Linked DNA regions of Pelodiscus sinensis. The protein of the gene in region 1 interacts with the protein of each later gene in a biochemical or structural test. Links are inferred from orthologs where the notes say so. Each region holds a gene or a part of one and is shown on either strand. Other genes may lie near its edges. The genes, in order: PTPRN and SNTB2.

The links.
Region 2: the proteins of PTPRN (region 1) and SNTB2 form a complex in vitro, tested with the Homo sapiens proteins (2 studies listed by BioGRID and IntAct). The link is inferred for Pelodiscus sinensis from reciprocal best matches to the Homo sapiens genes PTPRN and SNTB2.

The regions. Positions count from the first base shown.
Region 1 is NW_027465982.1:218,182-226,156, reverse strand, and holds the start of PTPRN (receptor-type tyrosine-protein phosphatase-like N), read left to right. Parts: upstream 1-4,637; 5' UTR 4,638-4,709; coding exon 4,710-4,794; intron 4,795-7,975. UniProt on the Homo sapiens protein: Plays a role in vesicle-mediated secretory processes. Required for normal accumulation of secretory vesicles in hippocampus, pituitary and pancreatic islets.
Region 2 is NC_134722.1:1,963,033-1,971,413, reverse strand, and holds the start of SNTB2 (beta-2-syntrophin), read left to right. Parts: upstream 1-5,025; 5' UTR 5,026-5,103; coding exon 5,104-5,545; intron 5,546-8,381. Other genes in the region: UTP4 (U3 small nucleolar RNA-associated protein 4 homolog), read left to right, coding at 1-90. UniProt on the Homo sapiens protein: Adapter protein that binds to and probably organizes the subcellular localization of a variety of membrane proteins. May link various receptors to the actin cytoskeleton and the dystrophin glycoprotein complex.

The DNA.
Region 1 (7,975 bases):
CAGCCCCGTGGGGTGTGATGTAGCTAGTCCAGCACATATCGGGCCAGGCAGCAAGCGCTTCCCAACAGCTCCACTGGCTGCCATGCAACTATCGGCTCTGTCAATAAACGGGTCCTTGTTTCACTCCGAATGCTGCCTGGTGCTGTGTCAAATGGAGCAGTGACCCCAAGGGCCCCTGGCAGGCCAGCGTGCCTGGCGCTTGGGGAGGTGACCAGAGGGTCCCTGGCGGGCCCGGTGCCTCAGGGAGGTGACCAGAGGGTCCCTGGCAGGTCGGAGGGTCCAGCGCCTCAGGGAGGTGACCAGAGGGTCCCTGGCAGGCCCGGTGCCTCAGGGAGGTGACCAGAGGGTCCCTGGCAGGTCGGAGGGTCCAGCGCCTCGGGGAGGTGACCAGAGGGTCCCTGGCAGGCCGGAGGGTCCAGCGCCTCGGGGAGGTGACCAGAGGGTCCCTGGCAGGCCGGAGGGTCCAGCGCCTCGGGGAGGTGACCAGAGGGTCCCTGGCAGGTCGGAGGGTCCAGCGCCTCGGGGAGGTGACCAGAGGGTCCCTGGCAGGCCGGAGGGTCCAGCGCCTCGGGGAGGTGACCAGAGGGTCCCTGGCAGGCCGGAGGGTCCAGCGCCTCGGGGAGGTGACCAGAGGGTCCCTGGCAGGTCGGAGGGTCCAGCGCCTCGGGGAGGTGACCAGAGGGTCCCTGGCAGGTCGGAGGGTCCAGCGCCTCGGGGAGGTGACCAGAGGGTCCCTGGCAGGTCGGAGGGTCCAGCGCCTCGGGGAGGTGACCAGAGGGTCCCTGGCAGGCCGGAGGGTCCAGCGCCTCGGGGAGGTGACCAGAGGGTCCCTGGCGGTCCCAGCACTCGAGGAGGTGACCAGAGGGTTCACGGCGGGCTGGTGGTCCCAGTGCTTGGGGAGGTGACTGTGCTGGTGCGTTGGGGTTTCCCAACTCCTGCACCCCTGTAATGGCATGAACAGACCCCACCAGCCAGTAGAACAGGGGAGTTTATTGCCTCTCCAGGGTACAGCCCAGCACAGATGGAATCTGGTTCCAGGAAGGGGGCTAAGAGGCCTCAGAGCCCCCCCTTGAGATGGGGGGTGGCTGGGCCCTACAATCCCAGCCCCCTCCCTAGCTCTTTCTCCCCTGCTTCCCAGACAGAAACTAACCAACTCTCTCCCAGCCAGGGGCGGCATCCACCTTCCTTTGATTCTCTCCCTGAGGGGTAGCTGGTCAGACAGGTTGAGAGACCCTCTTTGCATAATGACTCACCCCCTGCCCTGCTGGGCCGTGCTGTAGCCAGCAAGGAACCCCCCACTACGTCACAGTGACCAGAGGGTCCCTGGTGGGCCCGGTGCTCGGGGAGGTGACCAGAGGGTCCCTGGTGGGCCCGGTGCTCGGGGAGGTGACCAGAGGGTCCCTGGCGGGTTGGTGGTCCCGGCGCTTGGGGAGGTGACCAGAGGGTCCCTGGCGGGCCCGGTGCTCGGGGAGGTGACCAGAGGGTCTCTGGCGGGCCCGGTGCTCGGGGAGGTGACCAGAGGGTCCCTGGCGGGTTGGTGGTCCCGGCGCTTGGGGAGGTGACCAGAGGGTCCCTGGCGGGCCCGGTGCTCGGGGAGGTGACCAGAGGGTCTCTGGCGGGCCCGGTGCTCGGGGAGGTGACCAGAGGGTCCCTGGCGGGTTGGTGGTCCCGGTGCTTGGGGAGGTGACCAGAGGGTCCCTGGCGGGTTGGTGGTCCCGGTGCTCGGGGAGGTGACCAGAGGGTCTCTGGCGGGCCTGGTGCTCGGGGAGGTGACCAGAGGGTCCCTGGCGGGCCTGGTGCTCGGGGAGGTGACCAGAGGGTCCCTGGCGGGTTGGTGGTCCCGGCGCTTGGGGAGGTGACCAGAGGGTCCCTGGCGGGCCCGGTGCTCGGGGAGGTGACCAGAGGGTCTCTGGCGGGCCCGGTGCTCGGGGAGGTGACCAGAGGGTCCCTGGCGGGTTGGTGGTCCCGGCGCTTGGGGAGGTGACCAGAGGGTCCCTGGCGGGCCCGGTGCTCGGGGAGGTGACCAGAGGGTCTCTGGCGGGCCCGGTGCTCGGGGAGGTGACCAGAGGGTCCCTGGCGGGTTGGTGGTCCCGGTGCTTGGGGAGGTGACCAGAGGGTCCCTGGCGGGTTGGTGGTCCCGGTGCTCGGGGAGGTGACCAGAGGGTCTCTGGCGGGCCTGGTGCTCGGGGAGGTGACCAGAGGGTCCCTGGCGGGCCTGGTGCTCGGGGAGGTGACCAGAGGGTCCCTGGCGGGTTGGTGGTCCCGGCGCTTGGGGAGGTGACCAGAGGGTCTCTGGCAGGCCGGAGGGCCCAGCGCCTCGGGAAGATGACCAGAGGGTCCCTGGCAGCTGGCAGGCCTGGCGCTCAGTGGCCCAGGGGCTGGGCACTCCAGCCGGTTACTCACAGGGCTCAAGGATTAGTGGGGGCTCCTGGCTAAGCTGCAGGGGTCTATGAGGTCTGCAGGGCTGGCTGGTGTTGCCAGTGGCTGGCGAGCGGAGGTGACCCCTGCCAGTGCGGACAAGGCCTGCCCGGGCTAAGGGCAGGGAGGGCCCTGCAGCCCAGGCACCCAGGTACTGGCAGCCCGGATGGCCCGGGGGAAGCACAGGTGCCTGTGTGAGAACAGCAACGGGGCTGGTCTCTGGGCCTGTGGCAGCGGTTCCAGCAGCCCAGGGGTGAGCCAGAGCCCGGGGCGGAGCAGCGAGGCCCTGCAAAGGGAGGCCCAGGAGCTGATGCTGGAGGGCGGGGCCGGCGGGGGCTCGGCGAGGGGCCAGGCCTGGACGTGCGGGCGCTGGCAGGGGCCTGGCTGTGCCACTCGGCGCATTGTGCTCTGCACAGGTGGGGGAGGCGCAGGCGCCGGCTGCACCGAGGGCCCGGGCGGGGGGGCAGGCGATGCTCAGCGGGAGCTCGGCAAATGCCCGGGACCCCCTCCCAGAGGCCAGACCCCACAAGACGAGGTGAGAGCCTGCACTGAGCTGCCATGCTTGCCAGCTGGTGACTGTCTGCCCCATTGCCCCGCCCTGCCCCGTCCCACTCCCTGCCCTGCCCCATTGCCCCACCTCACTGCCCTGCCCCACCCTCATCCCACTCCCTGCCCTGCCCTGCCCCATTGCCCCACCTCACTGCCCTGCCCCGCCCTCATCCCACTCCCTGCCCTGCCCTGCCCCATTGCCCCACCTCACTGCCCTGCCCCGCCCTCATCCCACTCCCTGCCCTGCCCTGCCCCATTGCCCCACCTCACTGCCCTGCCCCGCCCTCATCCCACTCCCTGCCCTGCCCTGCCCCATTGCCCCACCTCACTGCCCTGCCCCGCCCTCATCCCACTCCCTGCCCTGCCCTGCCCCATTGCCCCACCTCACTGCCCTGCCCTGCCCTCATCCCACTCCCTGCCCTGCCCTGCCCCATTGCCCCACCTCACTGCCCTGCCCTGCCCTCATCCCACTCCCTGCCCTGCCCTGCCCCATTGCCCCACCTCACTGCCCTGCCCTGCCCTCATCCCACTCCCTGCCCTGCCCTGCCCCATTGCCCCACCTCACTGCCCTGCCCTGCCCTCATCCCACTCCCTGCCCTGCCCTGCCCCATTGCCCCACCTCACTGCCCTGCCCTGCCCTCATCCCACTCCCTGCCCTGCCCTGCCCCATTGCCCCACCTCACTGCCCTGCCCTGCCCTCATCCCACTCCCTGCCTTTCCTCATTGCCTGCCCCACCCCACTGCCCTACCCTGTCCCATTGCCCCACCCCATTGCCCTGCCCTTCCCCATTGCCCCGCCTCTGTGCCCTGCCCCATCGTCTGCCCTGCCCAATTGCCTTGCTCCCTTGCCCAGCTCTATCCTATTATCTGCCCTGCCCCACTGCCCTGCCCTATTGCCCCACCTGCCCTATTGCCCTTCCCCATTGTCTGCACTGCCCCACTGCCATGCACTTGTCCTATTATCTGCCCTGCCCCACTGCCCTGCCCTATTGCCCCGCCTGCTCTATTGCCCTTCCCCATTGTCTGCACTGCCCCACTGCCATGCACTTGTCCTATTATCTGCCCTGCCCCATTGCCCCACCCCCCGCCTCACTGCATTGTCCTGCCCCCTTTTGCCCATCCTGCCCCACTAGCTGCCTCACCCCCCAGGTTCCTAGGACATTGGCCACCAGGCACGTGCCAGCTCCTAGAAGCCCAGACACACTCGTCCTATTGGCCCACCTGGTGTGAGGGTGTGTCGGGGCAGGGCTGTGATTGGTCTGTTGTACAGGGGGCGGGACTCTGGTAGGCACCTGCCATCCCCCTGGGTTGTGGTTGGTGTCATCTGCAGTGGGCGTGGCTCCTCAGAGAGGGGCGTGTCCTGTGTGTAAGAGTGATTGGGGCAACTGGCGAGGGCGTGATTCAGGGGGCGGGGTTAATACATTTTGGGGGACGCGGTTGGTCCCCTGTGGAAGGGCTCTCACGGTGATTGGTGCATCCCAAAGGGGCGGGGCTATTGGCAGGGGGCGTGTCCCGCTCATTTAGATTACCTGGAGGGCGTGTCCCAGACATGCGTGGTGGTTGGTTCCCTGTTGGGGGCGTGTCCTGGCTGCAGGGTGCGATTGGTGGCTCCGCAAGGGGCGTGTCCAGACTGCGGCCTGTGATTGGCTCCTCGGGTGGGGGCGTGGCCGGGCGGCCCGGCGGCTGCGGGCGGCGCTGGGCTGCGGGCCCGGCGTGGTGCGGAGCGGAGCCGAGCGGCCGGGATGGGGCGGCGGCTGCTGCGGCCGCTTCTCTGCCTCCTGCTCGTGGCCGGCCGCCTGCCGCGGGCCGGGGGCGCCGGACCCCACGGTGAGGGGCGGCCGGGGGATGGGGGTGTCGGCCTGGGGGGGTCCCCATGGGGGGGCTGGGCTGGGGGTATCGGTCTGGGGGGTCCCCATGGGGGGGCTGGGCTGGGGGTATCGGTCTGGGGGGGTCCCCATGGGGGGGGCTGGGCTGGGGGGTATCGGCCTGGGGGTCCCCATGGGGAGGGCTGGGGGGGTATCGGTCTGGGGAGGTCCCCATGGGGAGGGCTGGGGGGGCATCGGTCTGGGGGGGTCCCCGTGGGGGGGCTGGGCTGGGGGTATCGGTCTGGAGGGGTATCGATCTGGGCAGTCCCCATGGAGGGTATCGGTCTGGAGGGGTATTGGTCTGGGGGGGTCCCAATGGGGGGTATCGGTCTGGGGGGTCCCCATGGCGGGTGGCTGTGCTGAGGGGGGTATCGGTCTGGGGGGTCCACATGGGGAGGGCTGGTCTGGGGGTCCCCGTGGGGAGGGCTGGTCTGGGTGGGTATCGGTCTGGGGAGGTCCCAATGGGGGGTATCGGTCTGGGGGTCCCCATGGGGGGTGGCTGTGCTGAGGGAGGTATCGGTCTGGGGGGTCCCCGTGGGGGGGCTGAGCTGGGGGGGTATCGGTCTGGGGGGCCCCCGTGGGGGGGCTGGGCTGGGGGGTATCGGTCTGGGGGGTCCCCGTGGGGGGGCTGGGCTGGGGGGTATCGGTCTGGGGGTCCCCGGGGGGTGGCTGTGCTGAGGGGGGTATCGGTCTGGGGGGTCCCCGTGGGGGGGCTGGGCTGGGGGGTATCGGTCTGGGGGGGTTCCCATGGGGGGTATCGATCTGGGGGGATCCCCATGGGGAGGGCGGGCTGGCCAGGGGGGGGCTGTCTTGCTGGGGGCTGGATTTCAGCATCTGGCGCCTGTGTGGGAGTGGAGCTTGGTTGTTGTCTGGGGCCCTCGCAGCTGGACCCCTTGCGCATGGGCGGCTGCTGCTCGGGCCCCGGTTACAGCGGCTGGGGGGGAAGCTGCCCCCCCTGCCATGCACTGCCCCCTGCCGCGCGTGGCTCCTGCCCCTTGCCTGGCACCCCTGGCTTTGGCTTTGGGGGGTGCTGCGTGAGGTGGGGTTCACTCTAGCCCCAGGGCTGCACCCCCAGCCTCCCGGCACTGCTCTTACCTTCCCGTCGGGGAGCAGGCAGCGAGGGGTCAGGCTGGGCAGGGCGGCGGGACGGGGGCACCTGGTGTTTGCACCCTGGCCAGGCCTGACTGAGCCCGGGGGCTGCACCTGGAAACCGTGGTCCTGCTCCTGGGGGGCAGCTGGAGGGGCAGTGCTGCTGGGGAGCTGGGAAGGGGGAACGCGGCTGGGAGCAGACAGGCTGGGGGTGAACCTGCCCATCCTGGGGGTCTAGGAGGACCCCGCTGCCCCCGGGGGGGTGGTGCTGTCTGCCCTCTGCGTGGCTGCCTGTCACAGGCACGTCACAGGGCTCACAGCCCCCCTGCTCTCCCCCCGCTCCTGTGCCAGGCAGTATTCCTCCTGCTCCGCTGCAGACGTCACTGGTCCCTGGTCCCTGCCCGTCGGTGCTGGGGAAACGCCTCTTCTCCACTTGCGCCAGCCCGCCCCCTCCCCCCGGCGCCCCTCCCTCCCCCCCGCCTGCTTTGGGGGGGCGAGCGGCCCCCTGCCCTTGGTCCCCGCAGCTGGGAAGGTGGCCTGAGCCCCTCCCACACAGAGGGGGCCCATCTCCCTTCTCCCCTGGCGCCAGGTTGGGGGCCAGTGGGCGCCTCCCCAAGAGGGGGCACAGGCCAGTCCTGCCCTTGCTGGACAAGGTCCCTGGAGCCCGTGGGGCCAGCGGCTGGCAGCCTCCCCCTTGCACCCCTGCCTGGGGCCTCGGCAGCCGTTTGGTGCCTGTGCGTGCGGTGCAGCGGCCTTCCCGCTCCCCCGGGCCTGCTGCCGCTGAAAGGGCCCGATCCGGAGCCCCTCCCTGGCAGGGAGCCGGAGACGCTGGCTGAGCACCCTGCCTGCTCGGGCAGGGGTGTCCCCGTCCCCCTCCAGCTGGGCGGGGCTCCCAGGGGCTCTGCTTGGCCCTGCCTGGCTCTGCCCATCCTGCGGGGCTGCAAAGCAGGGCAGGAGCTGGGCCCCCCGGCCTCTCGAGCCCCCGGCAGCTCAGGCAGGTGGCTCGTACGAGACGCAGGCGCCGAGACCCTGAGCCGGAGGAGGCGGCAGGGCAGGGGGGGCGGGGCTGTGGCCGGGGGGTGGGGCTGGGGCGCAGCTGCAGGGCGCTTCGCGAGCATGGGTCGGGCGCGTGGAGCCTGGGATGGGGGGGCGGGTGCAGACCGAGTGGGGCCGGGCCGGGCTCTGGTGGGGGAGTGCTCTGGGCCCCAACGCCCCCGCCCGCTGGGCACAGAGTGGGCAGCCAAGGGGTGAAGGCGCCTCCCAGCATGCTTAGCGCCTGCCCGGGAGCCCTGGGGCAGGCGGGGGGGTGGGGGGAGGAGGTGCCAGTTCTGAAGCCGCCCGGCACTTTATCTTCCTGCCCTGGGACCCGCATGCGGCTCAAATCCATGGTTGTGGCCCACGGCTCAGCAGGCTCCTGCCAGGCCCCATCCCCACGGCGCCCCCCTGCAGACTGGGGGCCCTTCCCCTCCCCTCGGGAGCAGAGGGGCCAAACCTTGCTGGCTCCCCAGGGAGTGACCTTGGACCCTTCAGAGCCTGGCACAAGGGTGCTGTGGGCCCTGTTCATACCACGGGGCTGGACCGGAGTTCTGTCTGGCTGCCGTGGGGCTGGGCTGGGGGGCTGGCTGGCACAGAGGAGCCGTGGGGCAGGCTGGGGGGCTGGCTGGCACAGAGGAGCTGTGGGGCAGGCTGGGGAGCTGGCTGGCACAGAGGAGCCGTGGGGCAGGCTGGGAGCTGGCTGGCACAGAGGAGTCGTGAGGGAGGCTGGGGGGGCTGGCTGGCACAGAGGAGCCGTGAGGGAGGCTGGGGGGGCTGGCCGGCACAGAGGAGCCGTGAGGCAGGCTGGGGGGCTGGCTGGCACAGAGGAGCCGTGAGGCAGGCTGGGGGGCTGGCTGGCACAGAGGAGCCGTGAGGCAGGCTGGGGGGCTGGCTGGCACAGAGGGGCTGTGGGGCAGGCTGGGGGGCTGGCTGGCACAGAAGAGCTGTGGGGCAGGTTGGGGGGCTGGCTGGCACAGAGGAGCTGTGGGGCAGGCTGGGGAGCTGGCTGGCACAGAGCA
Region 2 (8,381 bases), on another chromosome or scaffold:
GACGGCTGCCTGGTGGTGGTGGAGCGGCCCCTGATGGACATCAAGACACAGCTGCCGCCCCCTGTCCAACAGAAGAAGTTTGGCACCTAAGCGCCACAGACACTCTGCACTATTGCTGCTGGGGACGCCGGTAGTAATAAACCTCGGCTGTGCTGTGGACTCTCCCTCTGCCTTCCTACAGCCCCGACGGCTCTAGGGCTGGGTCCCAGAGAAGGGATGTGGGATGGGCGCCTGCCCCTTGGGGCTTCTCGCCGCCGCAGAGGCTGGCCTGGCCCCAGGGCCCGTTCCTGGAGGGTTACAGCAACGTGGCCCCTTCTCGCTCAGGGCAGGCCCCAGGCTTGCAGTCAGTACGGCCTTCGTTGCGCCGGATGCTGGCGGCTCTCCCTGCCGCGCGGCTGGTCCTGAGGCCGGACAGGAACGCTTCTCGCCCCCATCGCTCGCGGGGCCTGGGAGCCCGGCTCTGTGCGGATGTCACGGGAGAGGCAATCCCTGTGCCAAAGCCCTGCAGCCTAACTGGGGGATGGAACCCCCTTTGACACCTCAGCCCGTGTTCGACCTGGCCACCCGCCCCTCGGTGGCTTGCTGCTGGGCTGCCCGCTGGGAGAATGGGGGGGGGGGCTGCCCGCTGGGAGAATGGGGGGGGGGCTGCCCGTTGGCTTCTGCCAGATGTGGTCAGTTCTCACCCAGATTCATACCAACAAACAGCCACTTTGGCCACTGCCAAAACCCTGCGTCCAGCCAGATTTCATGCTCCGCTCTTTGTGTGTAAACAGCAACTAGCTCGAGGGGGATCGGTAGCCGGCCACACCGGATTTCTTTTAGCTGGTACCTGTGTACAGTAGGCCTGCACCAGGGTGAGTTGAAACTAGAAGGGTGAGTTGAAACTTGCCAGCTGTCTACACCGGCTGCTTGAATTTCCACAAGAACACTGACTTCCTACTGTCTGAAATCAGTGCTTCTTGCGGAAATACTATGCTGCTTCCGTTCGGGCAAAAGCCCTCTTGCGCAAATCATTTGCTCAAGAGGGCCACTGTAGACAGCACAGGACTGTTTTCCGCAAAAAAGCCCCAATGGCGAAAATGGCGATCGGGGCTTTTTTGCGCAAAACCGCGTCTAGATTGGCACGGACACTTTTCCGCAAAAAGTGCTTGTGCGGAAAAGCATCCGTGCCAATCTAGACGCTCTTTTCTGCAAATGCTTTTAACGGAAAACTTTTCCGTTCAAAGCATTTGCGGAAAATCATGCCAATCGAGACGTAGCCGAAATGTTAAATCCCGTTTAATTAGTTAACCGGTTAAACATAATGTTTGACCGGTTAAGCAATTGATCGGGGGCGGGGGAAAGCATGTCCAGCCCTGGTGCCTCCCCTCGCCCACTGGAGCCAGGCTGGACCAGCCCCTACTGGTTAAGCATGACCAGTAAGCAGCACCTGGTATGGGTAATGTTTACCAGTTAACCTTTCCTGCCCCTAGTTGAAAGGCAGTTCCTGGTGCATGTTACTGGTTTGGTGGCCCTTTTACAGAAAGCAGATGCTTGATTTCACTGCTTATGCCATGATTCAAATCCCGAAGGTGCCCAGCCAGGCATGGGGACCCAGCTTCAAAACGTAGAACCTGCATGTGCAAAGGGCCCAGCTGGCCGCTTGCGTGTGCAGTCCCAGCGTGCCCCATGCGTGGGCATGCGTCTAAATCCGAGCCCAAGCATCGCTGCAGGCAGTTACAGGAACACCGAGGGGCTTGTCTAAGCCAAGCTGAGCGAACCGTTCCAGCCCGGCTTGTGAGTGTGTGGAGTAGATGTTGGTGCTGCGCACGCAGGCAGTGACTTGTGTGCATGCTGTAGCCACCTGCTTTCACCGCCTGCCTGCTGCTGGCCTTTCCTGACAGCCCCTGCAGCCTGTACCCCCATGACCCTTCTCCTCCAGGCCCCCTTTCTCTTCCCGCTCCATGTTGGATGCCCTTGTTCTACTCCCACAGTTCTGAATCTGCGTTTGCCGCGTGCGCTGGGCCTTACAGTGTGGTGTGAGCACCCCGCTTCCATGACCACGCGGCCTGCCCCCCTCTGCCATCAGTTAGCCCCACTTGCTTCTTGCTGCCTTCCTGTGCCGGCTCCAGAAGATACTCCTGTGGACAAGCAGTGGTCGGGAGCAGTCTGAGAGCTGCTGCTCTGTGTTTTCTTAGCCTTTACCAGTGATACTTTGAACTGTGGTGCACAACCAGGCTTTCTGGCTCCGAGGACCCTGCAGCTTGCTTTGCAGGCCCCTCTAACGCTGCGCCAGCAGGGGGCACCGTTCCCTTAGCTGTTAGGTGGTTACGGCTCATGGAAACAGGGAGACTCAGTTGATCTCCCCATAAGATTTACTGGGCCCTGCCTTAGCGCAGGAACTGGCCTAGGTGACCATTCCAGGGCCCTCCCAGCCCTGTGTTTGTCATTCGAAGCTGCTGCAAAATTGATTGTGAATGTTTCTGAACTGAAACCACAGGCTTGAAAGCGGTGCAGGGCTGCGGGGGCGGCTCCCTCTAGGCTGTCAGCTTGTTACAGCTTGGTCCGTGTTAGCAGGAAAGGAAGTTAATTCACAAAACGTGAAGAACGGGGGTGTGCTCAGACTTGCAAAACCTCAATCACTGAGCTGGGGTTTTCCTGCTGATCCCTGGAGGGAGACCACTGGCTGTAGCTGGGGAGTGATCTGTGGGCTGCATGACTGCTCCCCCCATGGGGATACTTCTCCAGTCTGCATCTATGTGGTTGCGCCCATCACGTTCGGCTATTCTGCCATTTCCATTCAGCTCCTGTTCAGAGGCTCGTTTTGGCTGTTGTAATCCCCCTCCTGCTGAAATCCTGTGGCATGTCACCTTCTAACAAAGCACCGGGCTGTCCCTTATACTTGTGATTCCTATGCAGCCCTCTTGGTACTGCTGTCACAAAGGCCAACCCCTGGATCAAGTTACAGCATCATCGCCTGGAGGAGAAGGCTGAGAGCTCTCAATCAGAACTAATTCACCAGGTCGCGGTGAATAGCAACTCAGCAGATTTCAGCAGCTCCGGTGAAATTAAGCAACATTTCAGTTGCTCTGCAGTTCCCATTTCAAGGCAAAAGCTCACGTGCGGGGAGAGCATTTATACTAAATGGTGAATCAGATCAGGCCTCTGTCCCATCCTGCTTGGGAGCAGAAAACCCCAGTGCAAAGAATTGTTCTGGAGTGTAGGTTGTTCTATGGAGAAGAGCAGCCCCCTTCCCCCCCCATCCTTGTGCTGTGGGCTGCTACCCCTTAGCATCATTTATACATCTGAGCAGCAGGAAACCTCCCATTACCAAAGTGCAGTTGGTGTTTTTTGATCACAGCGATTGTGTTAACAATTAGATTCCCCCTGTGCTGCTGGTAGTTCTGGAATAGGCAACCTCATTCTTAGGGGGGAGGGATAACTGGTTTGAATGTTGGCCTGCTAAACCCAGCATTGTGAGCTCAATCCTTGAGGAAGCCATTTAGCGATCTGGGGCAAAATCTGTCAGGGATGGTATTTGGTCCTGCTGTGAAGGCAGGGGACTGGACTTGATGACCTTTCAGGGTCCCATCCAGTTCTAGGAAATAGGCATCTCCATGCATTTCACTTTTACATTCTTAGAACTTGTCTCTGGTCATTCCAAAGCCCTTGTCAAACTACCTAGTTACATATGATACCTGGTCTTATAGTCTTCCCAAATCCCAGTAAGTTACATTGCACTGATTGTGGCTGTTTGTTGTGTATTATATTTAGTAGAGGTCTGACGTGCAACACACTGGCTTGTGCACATAAAACTTGCAGCTGCTGCTGTTTGAGCAGTAGACAGAGCTAGAACACGGGGGTGGGGGGAAATGTAGTTTAATCTTGATATGTGACTTCTTGAACTGAGTTTTTCCTAATATTTTAGCCAATTGATTTCTAAAGCAAAAATGTCTGTCCTGCCTCACGCTGCTCTAATTCACAATTCCCTTTCATTTTCATGAATGAGAAAGGGGTGTCAACTTCGTGTGGTTATTGCTGCCTGAACCACCTGCCCCCAACCCTGTGCTCACAGGGTGCTAGGCAAAGGGCTGGCAGGCGTTGGTTGTACTTCCCCTCTCAGTAGGTGTTGTGGGGAGTCTGAGATCATTGGTGGGTACATCTGCTTGAGTTAAAAATAGGGCTCTGAGGGATCAGTAGCCAAGGCCCAGCCTCAGGCAGGAATTCAGCAAGCTCCGGGCTGGTGGGGCTGTACTAATCTCAAGCGGGCCTGTAACCGAATTTCTGCCTTAAGATTGGATGTGCTGCCGCCCGCTGTCTAGCCCTGGCTCTGCTCCCCTTGTTCAGGGCTGCAGCGGGGAACGGGGAGATCAGGCTACCTTTTTCCTGGAGCAAGAAAGTGAAGCAAAGGCAGGGGATCTGGAAAGCTGGGTGTTGGTGTTCCCCACGGGGCTTTGCCTTCACTAGTCCTGCAGCAGGGGAGGACCTAGGGATGTACTCGCCTCCCTCCTTTCCCTGTTATTAATACAGTTTAGCCTTGGATGGAACTGTTCCCAAACCATGCCCCAGCTTTGGGCTTTTTCTACACTGCCACCCGCCACAGTGCCCCAAGGACAATAGTATTTTTCAGACAGACCATCCCCGGCTCTGGACCCAGTCGGGTTTGGTTCTTACTGCCTTGGCTGGGGCTGGATTGGCTGGTTGAGGGCACAGCTGGCGGGGCTGAGCTAGGGCACCGGAGGGGCCCCTGGTGCTAGGGTGCTGCTGGCCCAAGCTCTGTGCAGACCCCTTTGGACGGAGTGTGTGTGTGTGTGGGGGGGGGGGGGGTGTCTATGGCTCTCAACCCCCTTGGCCTTGGGAAAGAGGGCGGAGCCGCAGAAGCCCCGCCCACTCCGTGGGAGGAGCTCGAGGCGTAAGCCCCGCCCCTCGCCGCCCGTCCCGGGGGGGGTGCGTCCCTGCGCTGCGGCGGGGGCGGGGCTCCGCCCCGAGGCCCCGCCCCTCTGGCCGCCGGCCGCCAATCGCGCGCGGGACGGAGGCCGGGCGGGCGCACTCGCCCGCGGCCGGGGCGGCGCCCGCCTCTGCTGAGCGGGCCGGCGCGCGGCGGGCGGGCGGGCGGTTGGCGGCATGGCGGTGTGGACGCGCGCCGCCAAGGCGGGGCTGCTGGAGCTGCTGCTGCGGGAGCGCTGGGTGCGGGTGGCGGCCGAGCTGAGCGGCGAGGCGCTGAGCCTCACCTCGGAGCCGCCGCCGCCCGAGCCCCCCAACGGGCTGCCCAACGGCGCCGGCAGCCCCGAGCCGCCCGCGGCCGAGCCGGCGCCGCCGGGCGTGCGGCGGGTGCGGGTGGTGAAGGCCGAGGCGGGCGGGCTGGGCATCAGCATCAAGGGCGGGCGCGAGAACCGCATGCCCGTGCTCATCTCCCGCATCTTCCCGGGGCTGGCGGCCGAGCGCTGCGGCGCGCTGCGCCTGGGGGACGCCATCCTCTCGGTCAACGGCACCGACCTGCGCGACGCCACCCACGACCAGGCCGTGCAGGCGCTCAAGCGCGCCGGCCGCGAGGTGCTGCTGGAAGGTACCGCGGGGGGGCGTGTCTCTCGGGGCCCCCCCGCGACCCGGCCCCCCCCCAGCCCCGGACACCGGCTCCCCGTGGGCGGGAGGGGCGTGTCTCTCAGGGCCCCCCCCCCCCCGAGCCCCGGACACCGGCTCCCCGTGGGCGGGAGGGGCGTGTCTCTCAGGGCCCCCCCGCGACCCGGCCCCTCCCCCCAGCCCCGGACACCGGCTCCCCGCGAGCGGGGGAGGCGTGTCTCTCAGGGCCCCCCCCCCCCCCCCGAGCCCTGGACACCAGCTCCCCGCGGGCGGGGGAGGCGTGTCTCTCAGGGCCCCCCCCCCCGAGCCCTGGACACCAGCTCCCCGCGGGCGGGGGAGGCGTGTCTCTCAGGGCCCCCCCCCCCCGAGCCCTGGACACCAGCTCCCCGCGGGCGGGGGAGGCGTGTCTCTCAGGGCCCCCCCCCCCGAGCCCTGGACACCAGCTCCCCGCGGGCGGGGGAGGCGTGTCTCTCAGGGCCCCCCGCGCGACCCGGGCTCCCCCCCTCCGAGCCCCGGACACTGGCTCCCCGCGGGCGGCCCCGCACCACGGGGGTGTCCCCGTGCGGGCGCCGAGAGCCGGGCGCAGAGAGCTTGAGAAAGGAGAGTGATAGAGACGCAGCCGGGTTAGGCTGGTCGGGCTGAACAGCACAGGACTAGGCAGGTTTATTAGGTGACGAGCTCGCCTGGGCCAGACCCACTGCCTCAGATCAAATAGTGGAAGAAAACTGGCACGATATGCCACTGTTTGAGCTTTCGTGGGCCAGACCCACTTTCTCACATCATCGCCTAATAAACCATCTTGTTCATCTTTAAAGTGCTGCATGGTCCTGGTTTTGAGAGCGGAGAGTGGCCCTCCTCTTCCAGTCTGTCCTCTCTGAGCAGCCGGCGGGCGTGATGGGCATTAACTCAACTCTCTGAGCTGCCCGCTGTTAGAGGGGACATGTCCTGACTCAAGCCCGCATCCTGCGTGAGAACTTGTCCCCTCGCGCTTGAAGATCTGTATTGACGTGTGCTTGTGTTCTCACAGTAGTGGGTGGGAGTCCATGCCTAGATTTGTCTGTTGTTTTGGGAAAATTCATGACCTGTAACTCGGGGCCACAAGCTGCCAGTGAAGATGTAATCTGGCTCCTCCCTTCCTTTCTTAGGGGAATCGTTCACTGCCTGGCTCACAGGCTAGCAGCAACATCTGCTGGCTGCAAAAAGCCCTCACCCATGGTGCAATTCTGATTCTCAGGTCTCTTGTTGTGGCTTTTCCTCCAGTAGAGATGCTGCTGCTGCTGCTCTGCAGTTGCTGAGTGAGGCAACATGTGCAATTGAGCAGATAAGGTAGTATTTGTGGTTAGAAGCCCCATAGCTGTAACTGAGAATGCGGTTGTACGGTCTTGTCCACTGGTGCTTGAGCAGTACCATTTGTGATCGATGTGCTCCAATGCTACTAAAACAGACTGAATCTAAATGCTGGGCTGCAAAGCAACAGGCCAAAGTTTTCTGTTTACGTGGAGGTGGAAGCTCTTTAAAACAGTCTTCGCTTAAAATAGAGGCCCATGTGGATTAGGGATGTAAGCCGAGTAGTCAACTACCCGATAAATTTAGGCTTATCGGGTAGTCATGGTGCTACTTGCTTCCCCTTCCCCTCTGTATCAGAGGCAGCAAGGGAGGAAGAAGCATGAGCCTGACTCCTACTACATTTAAACTGCAGACCCACGGGGGGAGGGTACTGAGCACCCCCCCATCGACTAATTAAGTAGTCGATGGAAATTCTATCAACTTATCAATTAGATAATTAACCGCTACTTAACATCCCTGGATATGTTGGTTTTGTGGGAATAATCTTTTCCCTAAAGCAGAATCATTGCTGGTCTAAAATGTTCATGAAGAAAAGCAAGTTGCAGTATTAAGTGATGGATTTGTATTTGTGTCTGTAAAGTAACTGGCATCAAACTGCTGATTGCTTGAATGGGAGAGGCGGGCATTCTGCAAAGAGCATTGAGCTCTGGGGCTCACGACTTTGGACTGTTGGTTGGAAGGAATGGTCTGAAAGAAGCTGGGATAGCTTCACGGGAAAGTACTTGAACTCAGCTATGAACTTTCTGGCTCTGACAATGCTTATTTGTCAACTTGTTTTATGAAAATTCTTGCAAAGTCTATTCATGCTGTTGCAAAGATGGTGCTGAGAGAGGTGCTGGAGATTGGAGGCCTATTGAGAGGGTGTTAAGAGGAATTTAGCTATAGAAATGTGAAATACGTAGCAAACTTTCTGGGTGTCTGGCTGATGAGTCTTGCCCACATGCTCAGGGTTTAGCTGATCGCCATATTTGGGGTCGGGAAGGAATTTTCCTCCAGGGTAGATTGGCAGAGACCCTGGAGGTTTTTTGCCTTCCTCTGTAGCATGGGGCACAGATCACAGCTGGAGGATTCTCTGCATCTTGGGGCCTTCAAAGTATTTGAAGGCTTCAATATCTGAGACATAGATGAGAGGATTATTCTAAGAGGGGTGGGTGAGATTCTGTGGCCTGCACTGTGCAGGGGGTCAGACTAGATGATCATAATGGTCCCTTCTGACCTTAAAGTCTATGAGTCTATAAGCTGACCCATCATTGGCAATAATTATCTGGAAGATGATAGAAGAAAGAAAACCATAAAGCTCCATTCAGAAGGGTGATAAATTATGGGTGTCTCCCCCCCCCCCCCCACTATTCTAGCTATACAGTACACTGCTATATCAGGCAGCATTTGTTTAATGCTGTGAAAGGATTTGATTTTTGCTGGAGGTAAAATGTGGTCCCGGATTACTATTCCTTTGGAAGCTGTTTCTTTGAAAT